Stegostoma tigrinum: one gene and its partners. The protein of the gene in region 3 purifies or fractionates together with the protein of the main gene of each other region. This does not show direct contact. Links are inferred from orthologs where the notes say so. Each region holds a gene or a part of one and is shown on either strand. Other genes may lie near its edges.

What was found.
Region 1: the proteins of WD repeat-containing protein 48 (region 3) and atad5a purify together in Homo sapiens (affinity purification with western blotting; 3 studies listed by BioGRID). This does not show direct contact. The link is inferred for Stegostoma tigrinum from reciprocal best matches to the Homo sapiens genes WDR48 and ATAD5.
Region 2: the proteins of WD repeat-containing protein 48 (region 3) and phlpp1 purify together in Homo sapiens (affinity purification with mass spectrometry; 5 studies listed by BioGRID and IntAct, with this or other methods). This does not show direct contact. The link is inferred for Stegostoma tigrinum from reciprocal best matches to the Homo sapiens genes WDR48 and PHLPP1.
Region 4: the proteins of WD repeat-containing protein 48 (region 3) and rad51ap1 purify together in Homo sapiens (affinity purification with mass spectrometry; 5 studies listed by BioGRID and IntAct, counting the BioPlex papers as one, with this or other methods). This does not show direct contact. The link is inferred for Stegostoma tigrinum from reciprocal best matches to the Homo sapiens genes WDR48 and RAD51AP1.

What each region holds. Positions count from the first base shown.
Region 1 is NC_081375.1:3,872,860-3,880,474, forward strand, and holds the start of atad5a (ATPase family AAA domain-containing protein 5), read right to left. Parts: upstream 3,022-7,615; 5' UTR 2,708-3,021; intron 2,497-2,707; 5' UTR 2,459-2,496; coding exon 2,411-2,458; intron 2,060-2,410; coding exon 204-2,059; intron 1-203. UniProt on the Homo sapiens protein: Has an important role in DNA replication and in maintaining genome integrity during replication stress.
Region 2 is NC_081355.1:6,235,518-6,242,463, reverse strand, and holds the start of phlpp1 (PH domain leucine-rich repeat protein phosphatase 1), read right to left. Parts: upstream 3,024-6,946; 5' UTR 2,851-3,023; coding exon 1,443-2,850; intron 1-1,442. UniProt on the Homo sapiens protein: Protein phosphatase involved in regulation of Akt and PKC signaling.
Region 3 is NC_081355.1:148,392,446-148,400,390, forward strand, and holds the start of WD repeat-containing protein 48, read right to left. Parts: upstream 3,012-7,945; 5' UTR 2,986-3,011; coding exon 2,938-2,985; intron 1-2,937. UniProt on the Homo sapiens protein: Regulator of deubiquitinating complexes, which acts as a strong activator of USP1, USP12 and USP46. Enhances the USP1-mediated deubiquitination of FANCD2; USP1 being almost inactive by itself.
Region 4 is NC_081378.1:34,615,564-34,622,466, forward strand, and holds the start of rad51ap1 (RAD51-associated protein 1), read right to left. Parts: upstream 3,025-6,903; 5' UTR 2,943-3,024; coding exon 2,926-2,942; intron 1-2,925. UniProt on the Homo sapiens protein: Structure-specific DNA-binding protein involved in DNA repair by promoting RAD51-mediated homologous recombination.

The DNA of each region.
Region 1 (7,615 bases), on a different chromosome or scaffold from region 3:
AACACCATGCACATGGCACATGTATCCACCTTTCGTTAAACCACACATTCTAAACAGATGCAACAATATGCAGTTAAAGTCATTGGCAAAGTTAGCAAATCTCTACAGCTAGTAGAATAAGGGTCATCTTTCATTTAAATGTTGCTGAACCATTCCAGCTACAATCAACACTGCAATAGTGTGGAGATTTGAAATCACATCACCTGATTGGGCTTTTGCTACAGGTCATGGGAATCATTTCTGCTTTGTAGAAGCTATTTTCTTTGGAAGACCAATGTTTCAATTTTGGAGTTGACTGACAAGCTGGAATGCCCAGACAATCCACTCCAATGGCTTTATGTGGTGTCTGGCAATTGTCTAAAGCATCTCTTTGCTGTCTAAGGCTCCTCCGTGTAGTTCTACAAGTTTCATTTGAACGCGCTGTTGTTAGATCCAAAGGCATTCGGTCTCTGGATTCTTTACTTGTGACACAGCCCAGATTCAGATCAGGATTAAATTCTTCTCCCGTTGTTTCACAACTATCTAGGTTTTTACATTCAGCTCTAAGTTTTCTGAGTTTTAACATTTTCTTCTTCTTCAAAGTTGCACCTACAGACTCTCTGCTTTCCACCCTTGAATCTTTGCAGACTTGGCTTGATATCTCAGCATTTGTAGTCTGGACGAATTCCCCTTTTCCCTTCTCAAGATTGGGCTCATCATCACTACCTTCACCTTGTGCTAAACCTTGCTTGGAGGCTTTTGACTTCTGCGTTACCCTTTTAAGTGCATTTTTTGCCTGATCTGAAGAGGGCGGTCGCCTGAAAGCATTCATAAATTGTTCCCTTTCAGCTCGACTACACTTGGCCTTCATAGGACTCTTTTCGGTGGCATCCAATACCAATAGCTCCAACTCCTCCTCTGCTATCACCACATTGGATCTCCTTGCAGGAACTGAATCATGGCTCTCAGCAGGATGTGGGCTCAGCTGTTGGATTTCAATCACTTCACTTTCAGAGTCTGCTTTCTTTCTCAAAAAAATTGAGGCTATTTTTTTCTGTTTCACTTTGGAATTTTGAGCTGAGGTAGCTAGAGGACTAGAGTGAATTTGAACATGGACAGTAACAGTTTTTGGGGAGATTGGCTGAGGAGAAACTGAACTCATGTCTTCTATTAAATTGGGAAGCTTGTTACGTTCCTCAATTATCTCAGAGTTGGCCTCTGCTGCTTTTTCAGCTGAAGGCTCTTCAGTTCCTTGGTCCTTCATAAAATCTTCGAATGACACAGTAACAGTGCTGTCATTTGCCTGAGGAGTCTCATTGGCTGGTGGTTCCAAACCTGTCTCACTGAAATGTATTTTTTCATTTTCAAGAACCATGGGGATAGTAGCCCCTTTAGACTTTGCTACTTCGATCCCCTCCTCACAGTAATCATCCTTTGTCACAAGTTCAACATCGGACTGTTCTGAAGAACCTTCAGGTTTACTCAAAGCCTTTCGTTTCCGTGTTTTTTTGGTGATTCTTTTACTTGAATGGCTGACAACTTCATTGCAAGTGTCCTTTCTGTTCTGTCCTTTTATCTCTCTTTGTAGAGTACTGGAACTCATATAAACACTTTCCTCATTCTCTTTAAATATATCTTGGCTTTCTGCACAAAGCTGAGCAATCAATGCAGCTGTATCACTGCCAAGAACTCCAATGCCTGACCTTACGTCACACACCTCTCCAACACTACAGTTACTAGAATCATTGATTTCAACAATCTTGCGGCATTCATTCAATTTCCGGCTTAAGTTAGTTCTTCTACTGAGTCTTTTCCTTTTGGAGATTTGGTGTTTCCCCTCAGAGACTACAACTGATTCCCTACTGTAGTCTACAGATATTACCGCTGAATTCTTTCGTTCACATTCACTCGATGCAACTGAAGCAACATTTTGTCCAGGAGTTTTCTTGAAGTAATCCATTATGTTACCGGACTTGGGTGATGGGCAGGCCATGTCGAGGGATTTGGATACTGGTGAAAAGTAGCTTGTAATTGTTTTTGTGTAGGAATCCTCTGCATCTTTCTTCTGTTTCTTGCACGGCTGTAAAACAAACAAACAAAATTAATCACTGTCTTGGGAAGCTTCTTACTTTCCTTGATTATCTCAGTCAGTTCTGCTGCTTTTCCAGCTGAAGGCTTTTCAGTTCCTTGGTTCGTCATAAAATCTCCAAATGACACAGTATGGCACCCCTTTGATCCAAAGTGACTTTTATAGAAGTCATTTATTATAATGACTGCAACACTATTACTGCCTATGTAATCAGTGAGTTGTAGTAGATCATCAACAAACGTGAAGTACAGTACACTCCAATGTGAATGACAACAACTATTTCAATTTTACGTCCAAAAAGACATTTGAAAGGAAGTTAAATGACAATCCAAATAGTCTCACCTGATCATGTTCCTCCACCATTCTGGCCATAGCAATAATCCCAACCATATCAGTTTAATCTTCCCCTACCCTGGGCATTCACAAACCTGATAAAAGACCAGTGAAGAACATTAATAGCAAAGAGCTCCAGCTGGTTATCTTGGACAGGCATTCAACAATATATAGGTTAAGTAAGTTGTCATTTTTTTTCATGTTTACAAAGAGATAATGATATAAAACGCATTTCTGATTATGGAAACAAGTGTCTCCAACAAATACTAACAGATCAGACAGCCATATTCAAAGCCAAATACTCGCCTTTAAGAAACCTCAGGTCGAAATCTGTGAACACACATTTCGGTGGCCCCCTTTTACAACATTAGTGGGGCCCTCACCCGAGAGGCCTCTTCTTATAATTTGCTTTCTTTTAAAAATGAAAACAAAACAATCAATCACATCAGATCAAATTTACGCTACACCTTTTACGAAAAACATGAGACTGAAACTCCCAATTAATTGTTACTCTACCCGTTGCCTTGAATATTCCCCCCACCCCTCCTAAAACGGGAGTCGGGACGGGGGAGGGGGGGTAAAGACATAAAATCTCTTTGAAAGACGCGCCCGAAACCCCGAGAAATGGCGCCAACTGAGTCTGACCTTTGACCCGCCGCCCTTCCCCAACAGCCGGCAGCGCTCGCCTGTCAATCCGAGACTGATCCCCGCCTCCGTTCCCGCCCCGGATAGGCCTGGCTCCGCCCCGCGCACTCGGGGGCAAGACCATCAACGGATTGGCTCCCGGTCGCTGTCAATCATGAGCAACGCCCCGCCCCGAATGACGCGGGGAGGCGACCGTTAGGCCCTGGGCTGTGCCCTGTCAGAGCGCGAGCGACAGAGCTGAGCAACGACAGCGGGACACTCCCCTCTCATCATCGGCGTTACTTCAGCATGAGCTGATGTTCGGTTAGTAAATGATGCATTTTTTTTTGTTGAAGTAGAGTGTAGGTAGGGAAAAATCTTCACCTTTTGAATTAAAAGCAAAGGCAGAGGTATAAATTAAACGTAAGAGGAAGGAGGTTTAGTAGAGGGGGGTGTGAGAGAAATATTTTTCACCGTGTGGTCGGAAGCTGCAGCTCATTAAGGTGACAGGGGCGGAAACCTTCATAACATTTAAGAAGTACATAGATGTGCACTTGCGATACCAAGGCACGCAAAGCTATGGGCCAGGTGTTGGAAAGAGGATTTCGAATAGTTAGCTGGTTGTATTTTAAACCTGCGCGGATCCGATAGGCCGTGGGACTTTTCCCTTTGCCGTGTGTTTCCATGAATCTGTGAACTGCAGATGCTGGTTGTCTCAAAAAAACAGAAGTGACTGGAGAAACTCAGTAGGACTGGTAATGTCCGTACACAGAGGAGAGTTAATATTTCGAGCCTAGTGACCCTTCAGAACTGATAGCAGCTTGGAAACGTTAGTCAACAAGGTGTGGAGCTGGATGAACACAGCAGGCCAGGCAGCCTGAGAGGAGCAGGAAAGCTGACGTTTCAGCTGACCCTTTCACGGAAATCTGAATTAAAAAGATGCGTCCAGACCCGAAACGTCTAGCAGGCTGCTTGGCCTGTTGTGTTCATCCAGCTCTACACCTTGTTATGTCAGATTCTCCAGCATCGGCAGTTCCTACTATCTCTTGGAAAAGTTAGAAGTTGGGTCTGCTTCGTCCATTCGTCTACTGTAAGCGGCGTGCAACGCTCTCTGATAGGAAATACTTTGCCAGATTGGCGCTGCGAACCTCTCCGGTAACTGGTATGGGAGTTTCTCGTCTTCTCTTTTCATTTTTAGTCTTCATGTAGGGACTTATTGTGCGTTTTTTTTCCCCTCATCTGACTTTAGTCTGTGCGTTTTCTTTTAAAAACCGTCTTGCTGTGTTAAATTTAAAGAGCAGAGTTCGTACAAACATTTTTGACTTTATAATAAAGATTAGACCAATAAATAAGGCGAGGAATTTTAGTTTTACTAGCTGGAAGCAGATTTTTGCACTGAAGGAGGTTGCTGTAATCTGTCTTGAGGTTATGAAGACGTCATTCTAGCAGTGTTGATCTACGTATTGGAAATTGAATCAATTATGATTGTTTTGTTAGGAATCCCTGCTGGATCTTGTTCTTGTCTTCTGTACTAGCCTCTGACCCTAGTAGATTCCCTATGCAGAAAAGCGGGAGCTCAGGTGATGTCTGGCAAAATTTATTTCGATTTACATATTGTCATGTGTATTTATAATAAATACAGTGAAGTGTTGCTTAGTGTCACCACTTGCCAGTACCATCTTAAAACATGGAAAGTAAGCCAAAATACAGAATATAAAGCCAGAAAAATAAAACCAAGTTCATTTTATAGTCTTAATTCAATGAAGATAGGTGGTCTTTGGAGCACCACCTGCATTTAGTTCAGCCATGGCCTTAATCCAGGCTCCTCCAGTCCCAGCCAACGACACAGCTGCAGCCACGCTTCACCATGCTGTTGCCACTGGAACAAAGCATTGCCATGCTCCAGTGCCATCTCACCTCCACCAAAGTCGCCACTGCATGAAATCATGTTGAGCCAACCTCACGGATGCAGCTACCTCCTGTGCCGCTGGGACCAAACTTGTTACTGCTTCTGCCATGAGTCACTTGGGCCTAGCAGTGGACCTGGAGCCTTGGTTCAGTCCACAAATCACAGCTGGGGTTTTAAAAGTAGGACCTGATCCTCACTCGCCGGGAGGGCTTGGGTGGACCCCCATCTGCCTCATTGTGGTGTTCCTGCTGTTGGACGCAGCCTCCTTCAATATTTACTTGGCCTCACCCCGCCCCAGACCTGCACCACCATATTCATCTGTCATTCTGCACAGTGCTTGCTCTCACTGCTGCTGCAACTGAGACAAAAATGTAGATTTTTTGATAGGTGTAGAAAAACAAAAAAAAAGAAATGAGTGGATGAGCCTGTGGGCCAGTAGCCTGAGTGCTGCTACTTCACCATTGTCATCTACAGGAGAGGATAGTCCAAACGTGTGCTGTCTGAACACTCCTGACGGCTAATCTACAGAACAAATTAAGGCATACCAGAGACCAGACTGTGACTAATTCTGAGTTGGAAGAAGATGATGAAAATGAACACCTTTTACTTGCCAGAATTGTGTAAATATGGTGACATAACTGCAGGTGGTTGAGGGAGATTTTAAGTTAAGTAGGACTTCTTCATTGAAATGTAAGAGAAAATTACAGTTCAGCTTCGCAGGATTCTCTGAAACAAAGTCTAGAGTATTGGACTATCTTCACAGTGCATTTTTTGTAACGTTTTGGACATTTTATGTGAGGAGGTGACTGTATTTCCACTGTTATGAAGCAGAGGTTGAACCTCCCCACTTCCCCACATACTAAAACCAAAACACCCAAAAAGGAGCACCTCCACCTCACCCCATAATCTGGAAAAGCATTGTGAAAAGTGGTGTAACCTGCCTTTCAACAACTTCTACTGGTTAATTAAGATAAATCCCTGACACTCATTTTAAAATCAACAAGTACAATTTATTTGTCTAACTCTAACAGTGAACAAATTAACTGAACTATTAACAAATGGAATAAATCCCTTCATATTCCCGAATGAAGCAAGATTCTGATGGTATGCAGTTCTAATAAATACATATCCCACTAATATAAAAACTAGAATTTAGACTCTCAATTACAGCCCAAGTTACATGTCTTCCGGTATATTCTATGCTTTCTCCGTCAATTCTTCTGACAGGAATGGTAACTCGATGTGCCGTTGATACTGTTGTTATTTAGATGGTGGTTTCTCCTAAGACGTAGAGGAGGCTGTGAGACCCAGTAATTCTGAGAGCTGAGACCTGTTTACCTCTGAAGTCTTTGCCCAACTGCCCCTGTCTTTTATATCCTTAACGACATACCAATATTTCTTAAAATAGAATTGGTCCTATGATGTCAGAGCCATCAGAATTAAACTTAGTGGGTTTTTGGTATTTAAGTATCTGGTTCAAATTTGGCTAAATTCAGAAGTCTGTTGTCTTAGTAAAAACTGCTGCTTGGTCTGCTAACTTTGAACACAAATGTTTCAATTTCGGTGCTCTGTGTATTTGCAAACTTTCAAGCTGCTGCTCGCTGATGTCCATTTTAAAAGTCTAAGCACAGAAAAAGTGCATGATATTTTAAAGGGACCACACAATGCTCCCCCCGCCCCCAGCAGTTTAGAAACACCAAATTCTAAGTATTGCCTCCCAATCCACAAGTGTTCTATTCAACTTCACAACACCTTGTTCTGCCATTAAAAATGAGCCATCATTACGAAAAGATGGCTTCTCTTTTTAAGAAACCTTAACTCCATTACATTATTGGATCCATAGGTCATTAATCTAGTTAATACACGGTAATAAATAGAATTAGTGTTAAATTGAACACTACGGTTTCTATCTTATATGCATTTGTCTTTTAAACTCATAATAAAGCATCAACAATAATATTTCCATGACCTGCAACATGTGCAATCTGTAAATTAAATGCATGTAATGTGAGACTCCCAACAAAATAATCTGGTGTTCATGTCCTTAAATCTTTCCAGAAATGTCAATGGATTGTGATACACCATTATCTCTGCATTGTTTGCAATGGAAAATTTAAAATGTAAGAACATTACTAAAATCAGTAACTTTTTCAATGACGGATTATTTTTTCTGGTGGATATTGAGTTTTTTTGAAAAATAACCGATTGACCTTTCTATTCCACATTCATCATCCTGTAATCACAGCTTCAACACCTACATTGTTTGCGCTGATGGTGACTTTGAAGCGTTTCAAAAAAATTTGGCATGATGAAAACTGGTGTGGTGGTTAACACTTTTTTAAATTCTCAAATGCCTCCTAGCATTGTTCTGTCCTCTGAAATTTTGTGTTTTTTTTAACAAATCTATCAACGGTACTACCACGCTACTAAAGTTTGGTACAAATTTACTGTACAATCCACTCAATCCTAAAAATTGTAGCACTTCTTTCTTCAAGGACGATCTTGAAAATTCCCCGATGGCCTTCATCTTGTTTCTCCGTGTCATCTGCCTGTATCCAATGTTGGGCCTTAAGAATGTCACTTCTGCCTATGTAAATTCTGTTTTTGCCAAATTTTATGACCAACTTTGCCTTCTGTGGTCGCAAAGTGCACTGCCAAATTCTTAATGTGATCTTTCCATG
Region 2 (6,946 bases), about 140 Mb from region 3:
TGCTGACACGATGAGCCAAAAGGCCTCCTGCACCACAGCAATTCTGTGATTCTGTTGTAACGCAGGTACAGTTATAGGGCATGGTCTGGTAAACTGAAATATTTATTTTATGCTCTGTCATGAAAAATCAAGCATGCAAAAAGATTAGCTCAATAACATCACACATTAAGCACATTAATTGCTTTCACAGCATATCTGCAAGCCAGATATGGCACAAATTATAAATATTGTGAATAAACTTGATACGAGTACAAAGGAGATTGTCATGTTATCAAGCAAAGCACAAGATCACTGATCATGTAGGAGGGAGTGTTTTTGTGCATTGGGAAGAACGTAATAACCATCTGTAGTGACAATAAAGCGAAGAGTAGTCACCAGTGTTGTCAGCTATCCTCAGCACTAGTATCTTTTGTGTAGCATATTCTGGAAGTGAGTCAAGCAGTTTCACTGCATTATTTAAACCCTTAACACAAACAGCACTCTGCATTAAAAAACAAACCCATTCGAAGCACTCTTGAATGCCAATCCAACTACACAAACATTAAAGAGGCAACAAATCGAAATGTAAAGTATGCAAACAGCAATATAACATTCCTCTTGAATTTCATGGCGGCTTTAAACACTTGCACAAGAACAACATACATCTGACTCACTTATGGCTTCATCAGTGCCATGTTCTTTTTAAAATCTCAGCAGTTACAGTTATAATATTCGCCATCAATTGAAGTAAATGTTAATGCTTTCTTTAAAGCACTTTGTTCATGTCAGTTAAACAATATTTCAATTACTCACTGTTGGTGCTTTTAAAAATCACTGTACCTAACATTACAAACAGAAGTCCTCACCTTTCTGCCAATTACAGATGACTGTAGTTTCACTTTTCACCATCTGTAAGAATGGCTACTACCATTATCTTTTTAAAAAAGTGATTCCCAAAAATTTTCCCACAGTCACACTATTTCAAGGCTGTAAAATTGTCATGACCAGTCGGTGAGAACTGAGAGTGAGGGGTCCTACAAAAGCAGAGGTACAGCTGATAAGTTCCATCATAGCCATTGTTATCTCAGCATTTGCAACCGCATTTGTGATCCCAATCCCCATCTTGCCTGGTCTAAAAGATACGTCAGTAAACTGAGTCACTGCAGCCAACCAAACATCTTTTTCTACCATTTTCCTTTATTTCTAGAAGAATAATAAAATAAAAACCAAAAGGTTTTTGTTGCTTTAAAATCCTAAACCGTCACTGAATATTTTTACTATACTTGCAATGATGTTTCTCCGAATATGTCTCAGAATACATCAGGAAAAAACATTTAGTTTAGTGCTGAGAGTAAATCTATAAAAAGTTATCGATTTTAACATTGCTAACAGGTAGCATTCCAATTCTGCTCTGGGAAAGGAAGTTCACAGCTAATAATCGCTATCACCTAAGAAAATCATACCTGCATAAAATCGAATCAGACAGCCAATTTCAACGTCCATTCCCTCCTCCTGCACCCTACTTGGATCTTTGAACCCCAGTTTAAAGAGGTACTCATTTTGTATTTCAAGGGGGTTTTCATGTGGCTCCAGCCTTCTGGTAGTTTCGCCATGAAGTTGAACATAAACCATTGATGTGAGCAAACCATCAGTAACCTGCATTCCCAAAGTGTCAGGAATTGAAGACTTCAGCCGACCTTCACCAGTAAGGGAATCACTCCTCAACTCAGGTCTGTCCACACTTTCTACCTTGACCACAGTGTCATTTATGGTATCACTATTTACATTTTCATAATGCACCTTGGTGCTTTTCAGCGATGGCCTCGCAGCATTTTCCAAAGCCATCAATTTGAAACAATGGTTTGACGATTTCAGTTGATTGGTATTATTATTCAATGAAGATCGAAGCCTGTAAATTTCAGTATCAGATTTTGGTCCGTCTTTGGCAGTGGCTGGTGCTAAGTACACCTGTGTGCCACTCGTTATATTTACTTCCTTTTGTGTGGTATTCTGATTATCCAGTGGCGTCCCTAACCTGGCAAGGGTAGTATTAGCTTTCTCATTACGGACAATATCGATATTTAAGTGTTGGCCAGCAGTGACTAGTGACAATCCCGGTTTTCCGTGAGCAGCAATGTCTGACGATCTGATGTTCGATGTCTCGGTTTGTCCCGACGTGACCAAAGAGCCCCGTCCTGGCCTGGCACCGGTGCTCCTTGATGTCCCCGATCTGGCACCGCCAGCGTTGTGCACAGGGGTCAAGCTGGTCATGCCCACACCATTTGCCTTTGGTATACACCCTGCCCCTGTGCGACCAGGATGCAGCAACTTGGCGGCGACCTCGGCCGCGGTGGTGTCCAGGGTGCAGATGACAGGTCTCAGGTAGGAGGACATGTGCCTATCGTAGAGATGCAGGCAGCCCCTCTGCACATCGGCTCGGACCCATTCCCGGTCGGCCGCAGTCAGCTTGGTGCCCGGCATCTTCCTGCGGTCCAAGCTGCGGCCGTGACCGGAGGAAGAGGCGGCAGCGGTGGCCGAGAGGTTCCTCCTCAGTCTCCTCCTGGACAGCAGCGAGTTGGAGTTGTTGTTCCAGCTACGGTTACCAGGCTTGGGCTGAGGGTGCAAGGTGGCCGCGGCGCTGGAAGGCAGCGGAATTTGCCCTGATCCGCTGCACCCACCTCCGCCTTCCCTGCAGGAATCCAGTCGCTGCACCTCCTCGGCGCTCACGGTACTGCCGCAGCCGTTCACTTTCACGCTTTTACACCTCGAAACAGGCGAGCGCTCTCTCTGGAGATCGCGAACCAACGCGGCTTCCATGTTCCCCAAAACAGTTTTTTGTTGTTTTTTCACACGCACAATATACATAGACATATAAAACACACACGAAGGATTATTTTATCAAAAGCCAGTCCGAGACACGTCTTATCTCCTTGAATTCGGGCCTAATGACAGCATTTTGGGAGTGTCACTGGTTTTTTTTCCTCCCTCAGGAGATCCAGTTTCCTATCGCCATAAACGTGCAAGAGACGCTCGAGCGCCGCCGAACAACGCTGAGCGGGAGAAGGCGGGCTCAGTCCCATCAACGATTCAGAGCCCGCCCCCCCAACCGACCCCTCCCCTTCAACCGACCTCTCCCCATCAACTGACCCCGCGCCCCCAACGGACTCCGCCCCCCTCAGAACAACCCCACGCCCTCGGTCGATCACGCCCCAAACCGTTCAACTGACCCCCTCCGCCTCAGCCGACCCCTCCCGCACCCTTCACCGTCCCCTTAAACCCAACCTTCCCTCCACTTTAAACCAAAAGCTCCCCTACCAATCATCTGAAACCGAATCCTTCCGTCACCCCATCTACCTTAAACCAACCCCTTCCCCAATTCCCCTCCTCTTATTCCGGCCAACGGCTGGTGCCTCATGAATATTAATTTAAGACACCCGCCCCCTTTCCTCATGAATATTCATTACCGCCTTCCCTTTTCTCTCACATTTCTTATCTTCAGGGGATATACATATAAATGTCTCTTTATATACATTTTTTTGAAAAATGGAACATATCTATGGTCAAACAAGACCACAAGTAAAAATCGTCTTTTATTTTGTTACGAGGGGGCAGGGCTGGGAAGATGAATATTTATAAATTCTAACGCTCTGGAAGGTGGGGTTGGCGGCTGCTGGTGGTGTCCTCTCGTGACCTGGCCGTTGAGAAGCGACTTTTGCTTCCCCCGCTCTCACCCCCAATTTCTGGGGGCGGCACACGCAGCGCAAAGAGCACCCCGAGATTTGTAGTCCTTCCCAAAACAAGAACGTCGGTCTCCCTGGGTCGGATGGGGAAGAGCGAACTACAACTCCCGTGAAGCGGTGCGCTCGTTCCGACCAACACCGGCGAGGTGTTCAATGAGAAAACGGGCCTGGGGGGCGTTTGAAATCGACCCACAGATATCCGATGTTATATTATACTTAATGATGTAAGAGCAGGACATTTCTGTTGCAGCTCGGGGCAATGTGAGGAAGTTTCTAAAACCAAAACAGCCCAGCGGATCCGAACCCGTTTGCTTCACAATCTTATCTGCAAAGTTCATTTAACTTGACAACTCAAAGTACCAGCTGCTGGAAGTTATGTTCCTCACTACCACTGGGAATACCCAATTCGGCCTGTCGCGGAATGTTAACCAGTTTCGGTAACTCAACGAACTTCAGTTTTGATGAATATTCTATTCTGTCACTACGCCAGAATACTTCCTAGGGAAAGAAACAGATGTACTAGCCTTCAGATCGAAAGAACTGCATCGGGATCGTATTTCAATGAGCATTTCACTCAAAATCGCAGTTTTTTTTCCCCCTGATGAAGGGTCCAGACCCGAAACGTCAGCCTTCCTGCTCCTCTGATGCTGCTTGGCCTGCTGTGTTCAGCCGGATCGACACCGTATTAAAAATCACAGGACTGCATTTGCTGGAGCTCTGAAACAAACCGAAATCGCTCGAGAAACCCAGCAGGTCGGGTAGCGTCTGTGTAGAAAAAAAAAAGTGAATGTTTCGAGGCCAGTGTTAAGACGAAGGCTTACTGGACTCGAACGCTAACACTGTTTTCTCTGCATCTCTGCCCCGATACCGCTAGACGTGGTGAGTTTCTCCAGCAATTTTCACGTTTTATTGCAGAAAACAGAGCTAACTTGTGTACAAGTTAGCATCTACAATTTATAAAACAGTGACTAACTGCCCTCCAGAAGCTTGGTTCTGGGCCTAATAAATGTACCTACTTGAATACAGGTTTTATTTGGTGACCCAGCCTTGCAGATGTGAATTAGTGGTATTCAGAGACAGTTGTAGTGCTCACTTTCTAATGGTCATGTCGATCTATCTACAGTTTAAACAACAAAATGAATTACCTTTAAAGAGACCTCTCATTCCTCAGAAAATACTGATGTACTGTGCCATGCAACATTTAAGCAACACTAATTCTGCATATTTAGTTTTGAGAATGAGCAGCCTTAGTAGCAGTCTAGAAATGGGCATTGTAAAGCAGGAAGTTGCATATACAGGGCAGTGGGGCAGTTTTCTGTCACTCAGTCATTAACACAGCATTTGGGTCTGGTTGCAGGAGAGGAGAGATCAATTAAAGAGGGGGTTAATCTTCTGGAAACATTTGGTCCTCAAACCCACCAAATGCAACCCCCATAATTTGGAAATTTCATAAACCTTGGCATAAGACTATACTTGCCTATAAGTCTATGAAATTAGGGATATTTTATTAAATGTATTTATTGTTACTTTGGCTTTGCTTACACTTTCACTGTTATCCTCCAGTCTTTTCCTTGGGACTGAAATGGTCTTTTCTGCAGTTCATATGACCAGAATTTTAAAAAATCTTCATTACATCAGTTAAAACCAGTCAAGAAACACAACATCTCAACTTCCTGAGGAAGTTAAGAAAATCTGGTATGTTCATAAGGACTCTTGCAAATTTTTATAGATGCACCATAGAAAGCATTCTATCTGGATGCATCACAGCATATGGCAACGGCTCTTTCCAATACTGCACAAAACTGCAGAGTCCGTCATGTAAACAAGCCTTCTGTCTATTGAACAAAAACAAAGTTGCTAAACACTCAGCAGGTCTGACTCCATCTACACTTCCTGTTGCCTTGGGAAAGCAATCAACATAATCAAAAGACACCTACCATCCCAGTTATACTTTCTTCCACCATCTTCCATCGGGCAGAAGATGCAAAAGTTTGAAAACATGTACCAACAGATTCAAAAACAATCCCCCCCCCCCGCCCCCCCATAGTTATATCAGAACTTTAAAATAGAATTCTGATCCATCTCTCTGCACCTGTAAAATTACAATTCTGCACTGTTCTACTACCCTGATGCACTTTGTATGGTACAATCTGCCTGTATAGTACACAAAATACACTTTTCACTGCATCTAGGTATGTGTGACAACAGTAGATCAAAAAATAAAACTGTCTTAAGCAAGCATTCCTTTTAGAGAGTGAATAAATTATGGTAATGGGCACAATTCTAATTCCATACAGTGGACAGTAACTCAGTTGAAAACTTTCCCGCTGCCTGCTCACAGACTACAAAATTATAATGTGTACAATATATTATTTTGTTTAATATAACACAGCTGCACAGAATAGTAATGAACTCTTTTGACCAGAGTTATTCAACGCATATCTACAAATGCAGATTATACAAATACTTTTCCAAATTTTGGCTTTTTGTGCAGTGGCTGAACCTTTGCTAGCTACTGTTTTATGAAACTTAAAAAGAAGAAACAGATGGCAATAACATATGTTTCAATGCTAATGCAGCACCAAAAGGATCGTTATTATAAAGGAATTATTGATATATAAATGACTCAAACCTGGTAATTTAGTTTTATATTAAAATAAATTGAAAATGCTTACTCTAACAAATTAAGTCAAATCAGCAAGACCAGAGATTTACATAGCACTTTTAAGATTAGAAAAGCACGCAAAGGCATTTCAAAGTGTAGCCAGAAAGCAGACTTTGAACCAAAGAACATAATAATAGATGCTACCAACTACTTGGTTAGAGATGGCTGAAGGAACTAATGCCAGTTGTGGGGCAAAAAAAGTGGGTTAAATACACAAGAGGCCAAAGTAAAATGGAACAAAGATTTTGAAGGAATGGTAGTGCAGGAAGGGGTCATAAAAACCAGGCAGGAAAACACACCAGTGCTTCATTGGAGGCTGCACTTATGATGTTACGCAGCAGGGTAATGAAACGTCTACAGAACAAAACCAGCTTGGTGAGCCGACCACCCACAACCCGAGCTACAAATCTACTCCAAAACTTTAGGGGTCATAAAGCTAAGTATAGATGAGACCATGAGCCAATTTAGATCATTTGTAGACAGCTGGATCCATAGATAGAACCACTGAAAGCCACAAACAATGCTGCACATTACCAAGGAATGGCCCTTTAAAGTGGTGGCT
Region 3 (7,945 bases):
ACCATTATATAGTGATTTTTATCTGCTGTCAGTAACACATTTGCTATCACAAACTGTTTCAGACTCAATGTCAGCTGTAACAACAGGACCTGAATCTCTACATGTTAAAATGCAAACCAAACAGCAGAGGCCACAACCAGACAATATGACGACATCCAAAGTTGTCATACTGCATCAAAAATGCGCTGGTTGCATAGCGCAGAATCATGGAATATGGCTGGACCAAAAGGAAGAGAATTGGACAGGTCTTTTTTTTAAAAAAGACCTGTCCAATCTAGCCCCACAATTCTGCCTTTTCATCAGCTCCCTGCAAATCTGTATCCTTTAAATTCAAATCTAAATTGCCTTTCAAAATAAAAACAGAAAATGTTGTTAAGTAACTCATGACTTGCAGCATCTATGGAGAAGAAAAAATAGAATTAATGTTTTGAATCCAATAGGACTCAGTCATATTGGACTTAACATTGACTCTGTTACTGTCTCCACAGATTGTACCAGACATGGGGAGGTGCGCCAGCATTTTCTGCTTTTATTTCAGATTCATACTTTGTAGCTTACTTTTTGCTTTTATTTGACTGCCTATGGAATCTCATTCCACTACCCTATCAAACCGTGCATTCCAGGTTTTTACAACCACATGTACTAACATTTGTAATTTCCCTTCTAATTCTTTTGCCAGTTATTTTAAACCTATGGATTCTAAGTTCCCATTATCTAGATAAGGTAACAATTCCTACCTGCTCTATCCAAAACCCTGACAATCTTGAACAGATCAGAAGCTGTCAACTCTCGTCTGAGAAAAATCACAGCTTAAACAGACTGCACATACTGAAAGCTGAAAATAACAAAACTCTGGCAATATTTAATAAGTCTACAACTGTGTGACAAGAGAGGGGAAAAAAGTTAATAGTTAAGGCTGGGGCTACTTCTGACGAAGAAAGACCACAATAAAATATTGGATGTTTCCCTCTACATGTAGGCCACCAAATCACCTCAGCAGCTAATGCTTTATCAGCTTCTTGAATCATTCAGCATAAACGATGCCTTCAGCCTTGGTAGCAATTTCTCAAGTCTTTTGCATAGCCCGTCATGACACCCTTTGTAGACCCATTTAGAACTGCCCAGCACAATACCTCCGTGACTACGAACCGTTTCCTTGTTTTGCACTTGGTACATTTCGGAATGTGCAATACTGGCTCGCTGAAGAGGTTGCAGGATGTCAAGATAAAAAAAGTAGTACAGACAAATTCATAAAGCATTTAACAAAAGCTCAACAGTTTGTCAATGTCACTGGAAGCAAGAGGATTTTCTACAGTTTATTTCAAAACCAAATTAGTTTTAAATCAACACTTAAATAGATAGCAAAGCAAACCAGAATATTAATCCTCACAGAGCTTAACATGTTCATTCACAGAAAACCAGTTACCTAAGTGTCATCGCACAAACTTCAGAAAACATCTCTATCTTGACTATAAAGGAACCATGGACGTTTACATCACAAGAGAAGCCCTATAGCTCCCAAAAGTGCAGGCACTTGTGCTCTGCAAAAGCAACTTATTATTCATCTGAGTACCACTTTCTCCCCATTGCCATGCACTCTACTGTTTCAAAGATTCGTACAAATTTCCCTGACAAGGTGCAACCACATTTTTTGACAACACATTCCATGGTCCAACAAACTTAATGAAAAAATGCACAATTTGTGATTCTAATTGCAAATCAAGCCATTCAGGTATTCAAACACTACAGATTATTCTGCCCTTCTACAGAGTGCATGTTGGGTCTTCTGAAATACAAGGTAAGTTTGAAAAATATATGAACTGCAGATGAAGATAATAGTGAAGACTTACATTTTGCACAGGAAACTTGCAAAAGATCACTTACCTGAAAGTACACAAACTGAGGTGCAAAATCTAGGATACTGAGCAAAAGAACATCAGTATGATGAAATAACTGCAGCACTGCTGCTGATGGAGTAATTGATACCAGCAATTTGAAGCAACAGGCTACAAGTAATGCACAGGCATAATACCATTTAAAAGTCTTAACAGAACTCACAGCAAACACAGGCCATCTGGCCCACTTTGGGTTATGCTAGTGTGTTTCTGTGCCAAAGGAGGCTCTTCCCTCCCTACTTCAAAAGTACTCAACAAACCACTGCCACACAGAATACAAAGGAAACTGTACAAACAAAACTAAATTGATGGGAGAGAAAGCAGATGAAGCTGAAACCACTGAAACACAGGTCCCAAAGAGTGATAGCTCAGAATTAATCAGTTCTCAAGAAGGGTCAGACACATTAACTCTGTTTTCTCCTCACCTACCATGTTTTTCCAGTGATTTTTTTTTGTTTCAAATCTCTAACATTAAGTCTTACAATAAAACAAACAGCAGATCACAGATGACTCCTGGACACAAAAGTTCAGCAAGAAAGGACTGGTTTCCAGAAAAACTAGAATATTGCAAACATGACAGTGGACCAGGGTGGGGACAGCAAAAAAAAGGGGGTTGGGGAGATTTGGGAAGAGGGCCCTAGCACAGGCCGTGAACCCCTCTCCCCACAAAGTGCCTCACTCTCCCATCTTGCTTTCTCTATCCCATCCCCAGCCCCTTTCTCTCTCTTTCCTGACCACTTTCCCACATCCCCTCCCTCCAGACCCACAACTTCCCCAATCTGCTCTCTTTTACCCCCTCCCAACAACTCCCCGTCCCTTCTCCTCCCCATCCCACATCCCCTCTCCTCCACTCCCTTCTCTCCCTCCCACCCCCCTTAATCGCCTCTCCTCTTCCCCTCTCCCTCCTCCCGATCGCGGCTGCAAGCGCTGGATTTGGGCAGGGCTGTGGAGAGGCGCCGGGGAGCGGGAAGTGAGGAAGGTGGCGGCTCCCATCCGGGCGGTCGGGGAAGCAGGGACCGAGACGGTCGCGCAGGCCCCTCACCTGGACTTTCCTCCGGGCCGCGGTATTCTGCCGATGATGGGCCGCCATTTTGCATGTTGACACCGCGACGTCACTTCCTGTCCGGCGGCGGGCGGAAGTGAGTGGGCGGGGCCAGCAGGTAGGGCCCTCCTCACCTGGAGGCATTGTCTCTCCCAGTCAGTGACACGCACGCATTGACACACCTCCCTCAAATTATCCCATCAATGTGTAACCAAGCATGCTACGAGATGATGCCAGGAATCTGAAATTAAAACAAAACAAACATTAAAATGGCCAGCATCTGCAAAACTGAGCCAACTTCTGCACTAAAGTATCTTACGGTGTGAAGTAAAACCTTGGCAAGATACTGTGGCTGCTGGAAATCTGAATCAAACACCGAGGTAAAAGCCAGATGCATTCAGCAAGTCTGGCAGCCTCTGTGGAGAGCAGAACTGTTAATGTTTCAACTCCGATATCACTTCTGAATGCATTCCATACCAGACTCGAAACGTTGACTGTTTCTGCTCATAGAATCCCTACAGTATAGAAACACACCATTCAGCCCAACAAGCTCACACTGCCCCTCCAAAGAGTGTCCCACCTAGACCCATCTCCCACCTCCTGCATTCCCCATGTCTCACCTGCCTAACTTAAACATCCTTGGACACTACGGGCAATTTAGCATGGCCAATCCACCTAGCTTGCAAATCTTTGGATTGTGGAAGGAAACCAGAGCACTCTAAGGAAACTCACGCAGACACGGGGAGAATGTGCAAACTCCTCACAGTCACCCGAGGGTGGAATCGAAACCAGGTTCCTGGCACTGTGAGGCAGCAGATGCTGGTGGACCTGCTAGGTTTCTCCAGCACTCCCTGTGTTTGTTGAAGACAAACCATAACCAAAACTTTGAGACCACTTATCCTTCTGGGGAAGATGATGGCCTCTAAGGTTTTGGAATAGATTTGTAGCTTGGATTGTGGGTGTTGAGGTTGGTTGGCTCGCTGAGCTGGTTTGTTGTTCCGCAGACATTTCCTTACCATGTTGGGTAACATCCTCAGTGCAGCCTCTGATGAAGCATCGGTGTGCTATCCTGTCTGGTTTTTAAACTCTGGAGTCTATTGACCTGGATGGTCTTGTGGTATTAATGCTGGACTGTTAATCTGGAGACCTAGGTAATGTTCTGGGGACAAGGTCTTTTCCCTGGGGTGAAGGGAGTCCAAAGTTAGAGGACATAGGTTTAAGATGAGAGGGGAAAGATTTAAAAGGGACCTAAAGGGCAACTTTTTCATGTAGACACTGGTACGTATATAGAATGAGCTACCAGAAGAAGTGGTGAGGAGCTGGTACAATTACAACATTTAAAAGTCATCTCGATGGATATGTGAATAGGAAGGGTTTAGAGAATGCTGACGAATGGGACTAGATTAATTTAGGATATCTTGTTTGAATCCCAACATTGCAGATGGTGGAATTTGAATTCAGTAAAAAAAACTGGAATGAAGAGTCTGATGGCGACATTAAACTGTTGTTGATTGTCAGAAATAAAATCATCTGGCTATTTTAGGGAAAGAAACTGTTATCCTTACCTTGTCTAACCTACATTTGACTCCAAACCCACAGCAATGTGGTTGCCTTTGCCCTCTGGGCATTAGGGATGGGCAATAAATACTGGCCTAGCCCTGGTTGAATATCTCCAACACTTTCTGTTTGTAATTTGTACTTTGTCGATGTGCTGTAAATGGGGCCCAAGGAAGAAATGAGGAAAACTTGGAAATGAGAGTTCTAATGTCTACAAGACAGGCTTGGACCAGTTCTTTCAGCATTACTGAGATCAGTATATAGCTGAGGACACTCTCAGACAAGCATAGAGACCTGTGGCATACCTGAGTGGACTCAATACATAAAAAATGACAAGAGTTTTCCAGTTACGCTTGAGTAGGAATAGGCCATAGTCATAGAGTCTTAGAGTGTAGAAACAGGCCCTTCAGCCACCAAACATCAAACTACGCTAATCCCTTTTACCAGCACTTGGTCCACAGCCTGCTATGCCCTGACGTTTTGTGTGCCAGTCCAAATGCTTCTTAAATGTTGTGAGACTTCCTGCTTCCATCACTCTCTCAGGCAGCACATTTATATCTTTTTTCCTTTATTCTTTCACGGGATGAGGGTGTTGCTGGTTAGGCAGCATTTATTGCTCAACACAGTTGCCCAGAGGGCAGTTAAGTGTTAATCACATTGCTGTGGGTCTGGTGTCACATGTAGGCCAGACCAGGTAAGGATGGCAGTTTCCTTCCCTAAAGGATATTAGTGACCAGATGGGTTTCTCCTGATAGTCGACAATGGATTCATGGTCTTCATTAGATTCTTAATTCCTGATATTTATTGAATTCAAATTCCACCAGCCGTGATTTGAATCCTGGTCCCCAGAGCATTATCTGGGTCTCTGGATTAACAGTCCAGCGACAATGCCATTAGGCCATTGCCTCCCCAACATCTATACCACCCTCTTGGCAAAAAGAAACATTTCCTCAAGTCGAGATAATGGGAACTGCAGATGCTGGAGAATCCAAGATAACAAAGTTTGGAGCTGGATGAACACAGCAGGCCAAGCAGCATCTCAGGAGCACAAAAGCTGACGTTTCGGGCCTAGACCCTTCATTAGAGAGGGGGATGGGGAGAGGGAACTGGAATAAATAGGGAGAGAGGGGGAGGTGGACCGAATTACAAGAGAGTTGCAGTGGGAGAGAGATTTCCTGAGGTTGGTCCGGAGGGAGGAGGGTAACTTCTTCAGGTTAGGCATCCCTGGAAGATGCTTCGCAGTGAGGCTATAATTGTGATCAGAGATAACCCTGTACCACTTCCTCTGCAGCTCCTTTCACACACGCACGACCCTCTGCATGAAATAGGTGCCCCTTCGATCCTTTTTAAATCTTTCTCCTCTTACCGTAAACCTACACCCTCTAGTTTTGGACTCCCCCACCCCAGGGAAAAGACCTTGACTATTTACCCTATCCATGCCTCTCATGGCTTTATAAACCTCTATGACGTGACCTCTCAGCATCCAACACTCCAGGGAAAATAACCCCAGCCTTCTGCCATGTGGAAAAATATTCTTACAATATGCTCTATCTATACCTCACGTAATTTTGTATGCTTCAATCAGGTATGCCTTAGCCTCTTCAGCTCCAAGGAACATTACCCATTTTATCCAGCCTGTCCTCATAACTGAGACTTTCCATCCCAGACAACATCCCGGTGAATCTCCTCTGCACCCTCTCCAGTTCAATCACATCCTTTCGATAGAGTGGACACCAGTATTACACACAGCATTCCATCTGTAGCCTAACCAATGCTCTATGAAGTTCTCTGCTTCTGGTCTTCTCTCTTGGTAACGAAGGCAAGCATCCCGTATGCCTTCATCCCTGCCCTATCTACTTGTACTGACATTTTCAGGGACCTGTGGACTTGTATACCAAGGTTTCTTTGTTGCTCAGTACTCCCTAGGGAGCTACCATTCACTGTGTATATCCTTCCCCTATAAAACCTCCCAAAATGCATCACCTCGCACTTATCAGGATCAAATTCCATCTGCCATTGCTCCGCCAAATTTACCAGCTGACCAATATCAGACTATAACCTCAGACCATCCATCTCAGTGTCGACAACACCACCAGTTTTTGTACCATCTGCAAACTTACTAATTACACCTTTTACATTCACATCCAAATTGCTAATATACTTAACAATCAACAAGGGTCCCAGCACTGATCCCTGTGGTGCACCACTAGTCACAGGCTTACAATTACGAAACACCCTCCACCATCATCCTTTGCCTCCCATTTGCAAGCCAATTTTGAATCCATTTTGCCAACCTGCCTTGGATCCCATTGGGTCTGTTGGAGCAGCCTTCCATGTGGGACCATGTCAAAGGCTTTCGAAATTTACATAAATCACATATAGAAAAGCACGGCCTAATTAAGGACAGTCAGCATGGCTTTGTGCAGGGCAGGTCATGTCTGACTAACTTAATTCAATTTTTCAAGGAGATGATGAAGGTGATTGATGAGGTTAGAGCAATGGGTGTTGTCTACATGGACTTTAGTAAGGCTTTTGACAAGGTCCCTCATGGTAGGCTCACTCAGAAGATTAAGATACATGGGATCCATGGTGACTTGGCCACATGGATTCAGAATTGGCTTACCCATAGAAGGCAGGGGGTAGTGGTGGAAGGATGTTTTTCTGGCTGAAGGTCAGTGACTAGTGGTGTTCCACAGAGATCCACACAGTGACCTCTGCCGTTTGTGATATATATATAAATGACCTGGATAAAAATGTTGGGAGTTGGGTTAGTAAGTTTGCGGATGATACGAAGTTCGATACAGTTGTCGATAGTGTAGAAGGTTTTCAAAGTATACAGCAGGATATAGATCAGTCGCAGATGTGGGCAGAGAAATTGCAGATGGAGTTTAATCTGGATAAGTGTGAGTAACTACACTTTGGGAAATCAAATACTAAGGAAAAGTATACAGTTAATGGCAGGACTCTGAACAGAATTGATGTACAGAACGATCTTGGGATTCAAGTCCATAGCTCCCTGAAAGCAGTCATGCAAGTAGCTGGGTGGTAAAGAAGGCATATGGCATGCTTGCCTTTATTGGTCAGGGAACTGAGTACAAGAGTCAGGATGTCATGTTGCAGTTTTATAAGTGTTTGGTTAGGACACACACTTAAGAGTACTGTGTTCAATTCTGGTCACCACACTACAGGAAGGATGAGGCTGTGGAGAGGGTGCAGAAGAGGTTTACTAGAATGTTGCCTGGATTAGAAGGTATGACCTATAGAGAGGCTAGAAAAACTTGGGTTGTTTTCTCTGGAGCTGCGGAAGCTGAGGGGAGATTTGATAGAAGTCCATAAAATTATGAGATGCACATGCAGTATTGATGTTCAGAATCTCTTTCCCAGAGTTGAAATATCTAACACTAGGGGACGTACATTTAAGATGAGGGGGGAAAGCTCAAAGGAAATGTGA
Region 4 (6,903 bases), on a different chromosome or scaffold from region 3:
CAATCGTAAAGGTGTTATACTCTCCAGTGGCCTTACTCAATCTCCTAATTATAGTCCAGTTTTTCCACTGACTAGCCCCTTGTGGCACAAATATGACTTTCGTACCCACTTTGGTAGCTGTCCTTTTGATAATCTGAATTAGTCCATCCTTCAGTAAACAAATTGTCAATGTTAAAAGTCTGATCCACATAGCTGTGTAATATATGGTCACGAGAAGTATCAGGATCCCCTATCCTGTTCTTTAACTCCTTTAGAATCTATAAATTTGAAATTTACACCAAGCAATTCTTGAACGATGTTCCCAAGCAACCTTGTCCCTTGCTATACAAATATTGTTTCTCCATCCTTACCAATAACCTTTCCTAGGCATCAGTGGCTCAGTGGTTAGCACTGCCATCTCATTGTGCTAGGGATCCCAGGTTCGATTCCATCCTATGGCAACTGTCTGTGTGGAGTTTGCACATTCTTCCCGTGTCTGTGCATGTTTGCTCCCACAGTTCAAAGATATTCAAGTTAGGTGAATTGGCTATGATAAATTGTCCAGGAATGTGTAGGCTCGGATGACTAGCTGTGGGAAAGGTAGGGTTACAAGTATAGGATAGGACAGTGGGTCTGGTTGGGATGGTCTTCAGATGATTGGTGTGGACTCATGGGCCAAATGGCTTGCTTTCACACTCTAGAGATTCTACGATTCCACTACTATTTATGCCCCTCTCTTTCATAATAAACAACATCTCCTTGATTGAAACTGGTTTCCAATAGCTTTACACCATACTTTAAAGATTGCTGGATCCTTTGTGAAACTGTCACTTTATTAAAAGCCTGTCTGCCTGCATGTAGTGCCTTCAAATGTTCAACACAGTAAAGTTAATTGTAGACCCTTCACAAGCTGGGTGCTGATGACTTATAATGGATAGAACTTAACGATATGTAACAACTACTAAATGATTTGGACTATATTTTACGATCATCTGCAGTGAATTCTTGACATTGCCAGCCATGCTCGTGCAGACGATAGAATTTTGGCAGACCAAATCATAAACAATGAATCATTTTGTCTATTACTGCATAGTTCCTTTCACATAGCCTGTCGGTAAAATGGCTTCCTGCTGTCATATTCAGAACTGTTAAGTTCATATTTCTGCATATATCTTGTAATTTATCACGGGCAAATTACCCCCCATTCTCAGATACTCATTCTCAGTCCACGTCCAGTCCCACCCCCATTTTCATTACTTGATCCATAATTATTTTCATATTTTTACTATGTGTTATTGTTGATTGATTCAATCTGGTTGCCAAACCTATATGTAACATTTTTCATTCTTATCCCACATCTTTATGTCCATTACCACTATCTCGATGAAGTACCTTGCTCACAGCAGACCTACTGGAGGCATGACAGCGTCCTTCAATATCTTACATCTATTACTTAACACTTCGACAAACTTGTAACATTCCTCATTCCGTGTTCCTGAATCATTTACTAAAATTTTTAACCTTTTGGCGGAGGCATCAACAAATTGCCCACGTTGTTTTAACACAATTAACTATTAGTCTTTTAAATTTCTATCCCCTGATGTCAATAACACTTCTTCAAAATAATTTACTTAGTAGTATCTGACCAGCATAAATTGCAAAGTTACAGGATTTTCCAAATCCATTGACTTTCTTACTTTCCATATCCAGTTTCATATACACTTATTTTTATCAAAGGCTTACTCAATAACATCAGTATTGAATGGAACACTGAAAAAATGATTTAATTATAGCTATTTTACAAGGAGTAATTACTCTTTTTAAAACAAGATTTTGTACGTTATTTTCTCCAAATGTGAAGCTGGTAGAATCTCAAATTCCTTGCCTTTGGTCCAACCCTTATTTATCAGAGAGTATAGGTACCAATTTAATCATCTACTTCACCCAGTGCAGACCTACAGCCACCATCTAATACTTTGTAGCTCAGTTCTTGTCCACATTCCGGAAATTGTAATTTAATCCTCTTACTAAATCGGCTGTTTCAGTATCTGTTAATGGTCAGTCAGATAAGTTTTTTATCCATGCTTCTGTGTTGTTATTTTGTGTGAGTTTGTCTAGTTTTTTCTGCAGCTGAGCTACAAACCTTCTCAAAACTCACTAGCTGTCTAATACTAATCAACTGAAAGATTCTGCCACCAACACATTCGTCATTGGGCTGAAACTTCTTACGACCATAAAAAGGCCCCTCTTTGATCCATGTATCCACATTCTTCTTCTGAATCTTTGAATATTCTACCATACTTTTCATGCTAATTCATGGTGCAATGTTACTTTGAATCACACCTGAAACATTACTTGACTGAACTCTGTGCATTTATGGGGTTCATTTGTCTAATGTAAGTCCCAAATTCTCTTAGCTTCTAGAATTCAACAAAAGCATTTCTGTCCTTATTTCTCCTCATTCAAATTCTTCTTTCGCACCTACATCTTGATCTTTAATGACATTAAGACTTCCATTTTCTTTTGAATGGCTGATTGCCCCATTTGCAACATGAAAACAGATGGAAAACACTGCTTTCCAAGTATATTTATTTTATCGTGTTTCTGACATTTCTTCTCAGAATGTGTTTATCTGCATATTTAATTTCTGTCAAACCTAGAAGTCTATCTGGATTTGACAATGTGAACTCGTCTAATAGCTGAAATGCCAGCACAGATTAGAGAATTTTCAAATATAATTTCTGCAGTCCTGCACACCATGTACTAAATTCTACGACTGGTCTTTTGTGGAGCAATGTTCCCTCGTCCTGAATGTGAACATACCACCGTCGGGTCTCTCCCCGCCACCAAGCCTCTCCCAAGGTCCACCATTTCCCCCACACCCCAGGATGTCGCCTCCATATTCCGGGCCTATCTCCTCGATCATACCCAGTTAAATCCACTCACCTCACCGGCCTGGCCATCGCTCTCCCACAACAACAGAGCTTGAAGCAAAATGAGAAATAAATCACCCGCCAACACACGTCAGCGCCCAGCCGCACATTCACCACAACTGTAAAATTACATTTACCGTTTAAGGAATTACACAATAAAAGGCAAAAACAAAAAACGTTTAAAAAATACTGAGGCTCGTATGCAGTTAAACAATTCCGCTTCCTAGCGCTCCGTAAATACTCAGACGATATCCTACCGAATCAGCTGCTTGATATTGAAACACGCTTTTTAGAAAAGGTGCTTTGGGTTGCAGCTAGTTCCTGTTTGGGGAAGGCTTTGGCTACAGGTAATGGTCAGATTTATTAATTGTCGCTTCCGAGAAGGAAAAATGCCTTTTGCTCAATATTTGCAGGAGGAGAATATAATGTGTAAAACATATGAAGAGTTTTTAAAAAATATTTCAGTTGTATGTACCATACGTCTGTGCTTTGTTTGTGTACATACATGAGTAGATTGTATCCTAAAGTTCTTCTTCCATTTTCTCTTTCTGTAAAGCATTTATTAATTCAGACACCTCGGTTAAGTTGCAGCTTTCTCTCTCTCTTCTTCGCCCTCCCCATGCATTATAAATACGCTTGATAAGAACAATTGTGGAGGGCGTTTATAGAATCCAAGTTGTTGAAGTCATTGTCATTATGGAACACTTGTAGTTTTTTCTACAACACTTTTCCTGGGCCCATATTATTAACAGCATCTTGCTTGAAGAATACTCAATTATGGAATATTGGTCAGCATCTGCATTTACTGAACCTACAGAATAAGGTCTTCTATTTTCTTCAATATGCTCATTTGGCTAGAACTCAGCAAAAAAATCCACTAAGAAAGAATTTTGGTAACATCCTCTGAATGCTGGTAACTAAATCTATCTGTCAAATGGCATGTTAAAAAGATACCTATTGTACTTTAAAGCTGGATAAACAAGATTAAAGTTCAGTGTTGTCAGGCTAGTAATTTGTGTGAAACTGTGGCACTTCAGAATTAATTATCAAACTGGTGAGATGTAGGTTTTTGTAAGCGCCCTTCAGAATCCACAATCAGTTCTTTCTGTTCCCACTTTTAACATAGCCAGATTGTAACACACAATCCTCATTACATTAGGAACTTATACCAATGATAAATGACATACCTTAGATCAACCTCAGATAGCTGAAAATAATGGTATTGAAATTATAACAGGAAAGGTACTCTGCACAAATGGAAATTGCTGGAGAAACTCAGCAAGTCTGGCAGCATCTGTGGAGGGAAAGCATGGTTAGTATTTTGTGTCCAGAGACCCTTCTTCAGCACTTTCTATTTGAGTTTCAGATTTCCAGCATCCACAGTTCTTTGTTTTATTTCAAAGTATTCTGCTTACATTGTCAACTGCAATAATAAATTTACATCAAACAGCTAGAAAACGTCTGAATGGAGTTATTTTTTATTCATTGATGGAACGTGGGCATTGCTGGCTGGACCAGCATTTATAATGTATCCCTAGTTGCCCTCGAAGGTGGTGGTGAGCTGCTGTCTTGAACTGCTGCAATCCATTTGGTGTAGATACCCTCAAAATGCTATTAGGAAGGAAGCTCCATGATTTTTGACCCTGTGACAGTGAAGGAACAATGATATATTTCCAAGTCAAAACAATGAGTAAGTTTGGAGGAAAGCTTACAGGTGGTGGTGTTTCCACATATCTCTTGCTGTTGTTCTAGTCAGTAGTGGTCATGGGTTTAGAATGTGATGTCTAAGGATCAGTGTTGCAGCTACACTCAAAGGTCTTCACTTGGGATGTGACAAATTCAGTTCTATTCTGGGAACATTACCAGGACCCATAGCTTTAGCAGTATCCAGTGTCTTCTACCATATATTGGTGTCACATGGAGTGAATTGTGACCCTGGGAACCTCAGAAGAAGGCTGAGATGGATCATCCACTTAGCATTTTTGACTAGAGTGTTTCAGGCACTTAAGTCTTACCCTTTTCACCAATGCTGTGGCCTTCCCCATTGTTGATGGGGATACTTGTGGCACCAGCTCCTTCAATGAGTTGTTTAATTGTCTACCACTGTTCACCACTGAACGTGGCAGATATGTGCGCAGTCTATCCCATTTGGTAGTGCCATACAACATGATGGAAGGTATCTTCAGTATGGAGATGGGACTTCATCTCCACAAAGATTTTGCAGTGGTCACTCCTGCTAATTCTGCCGATGACAGATATTTCACACAGGCAGATTGGTAAGGATCAAGGAAAAACAAATATGTTTTTTGGTGCTGGAAGTTGAAGTCTCCTACCAGAGCAGATTCAGCATCCTTTCCACCTTCTTTGCTTCCTCCCAAATTCAACGTGGAGGAATACTGAATCATCGTCTGATGGGGGTGATATTTGGTAATCAATAGGAGATATCCTTGTCCATGTTTTATCAGATGCAATGAGACTTCGTGTGATCCAGAATCAACATTGAGGACTGATGAACGACTAAGGATCCTGGGATTATACTCATTAGAGTTTAGAAGGTTGAGGGGAGATCTAATAGAAACTTACAAGATAATGTATGGCTTAGAAGGGGTGGACACTGGGAAGTTGTTTCCGTTAGGCGAGGAGACCAGGACCCATGGGCACAGCCTTAGAATTAGAGGGGTTAGATTTAAAACGGAAATGGGATGACATTTCTTCAGCCAGAGAGTCGTGGACTTGTGGAATTCATTGCCATGGAGTGCAGTGGAGGCCGGGACGTTAGATGCCTTCAAGGCAGAGATCAACAAATTCTTGATCTCACAAGGAATCAAGGGTTACAGGAAAGTGCAGGGAAGTTGAAATGCCCATCAGCCATGATTTAAATGGCGGAGTGGACTTGATGGGCCAAATGGCCATACTTCCACTCCTATGTCTTATGGTCTTATGGACTCCCAGGGCATGTCACTGTGCCACCACCTCTGCTCTCATTCTGATAAGACAGAATATGCCCAGAGTGGGGATAGTATCTGAGACATTGTCATCAAGGTATGTTTACATGGTTTTGACTTTGTCAAACTGCTGCTTGTAAGTCAGTTCTCCAAGTTTTGAACAAGTGCCCGAATATTGGTAAGAAGGACTTTACAGGGTCAACGGGGCTAACTTTACTGCTGTAATTTCCTATGTTTAGTTCAATGCCAGATGGTTAGTGTGATTTCATTTTCTTTTGAGATTTTTTTAAATGATTTGATACAATTGAAAGGCTTCCTAGGCCAATTCAAAGGACAACTGGGAATCAAACACATTTCTTTTTTGTGGAGTTACATTTTAGATGGATCAAGTAAGGATACCAGATTTCCATTCCTAAAGAAAACTCATGATCCAGAAAGGTTTTTATCTTATGACAATTGAGAATGGAATTGACAATTCCAGATTTCATTGAAATCAAATTCCACCCTCTGTCCTGGAACCTAGAACATTACTTGGGTTTCTGGATTACTAAATCAGAGACAATACCTGTAACATCATTTCTTCCCCCTGTATATTCCTCCTCTCAGAACAGATTTATTCTGATGGATTTTTTAGATTGTCTGTCTTTCTATTTTTAAAAAAATGTCTCTTGAACTATTATCTTGCCTTATGTGAAGTATTTTAAAAGAATGTAAAACATTGCAGTTACTGAAAATCAAAAATTTTTAAAACGCTGGAAATATTTAGCGGGCCTGATATCGGCTGTGGAGAGAGAAACAAAGTTAAAATTTCAGGTCTGTGACCTTGCTTCAGATTTACGATCGTGGTCAAGGAGAAGCTAAAATTCAATTAAGTAAGGTGGAAGCAATAAATGGAAAATCCCTTGGAGTGAGGTGGGGTAAATTTTCAAGAGGAACGTTCCTAGAAGAGAGGTCATAGTGAATTCAACACTGACAGCAAAGAAAAATACTACAGTGCTATATTCCAGGTGAAGCAGGATGCCCAGTGTTGTAGAAATAAGGACAAT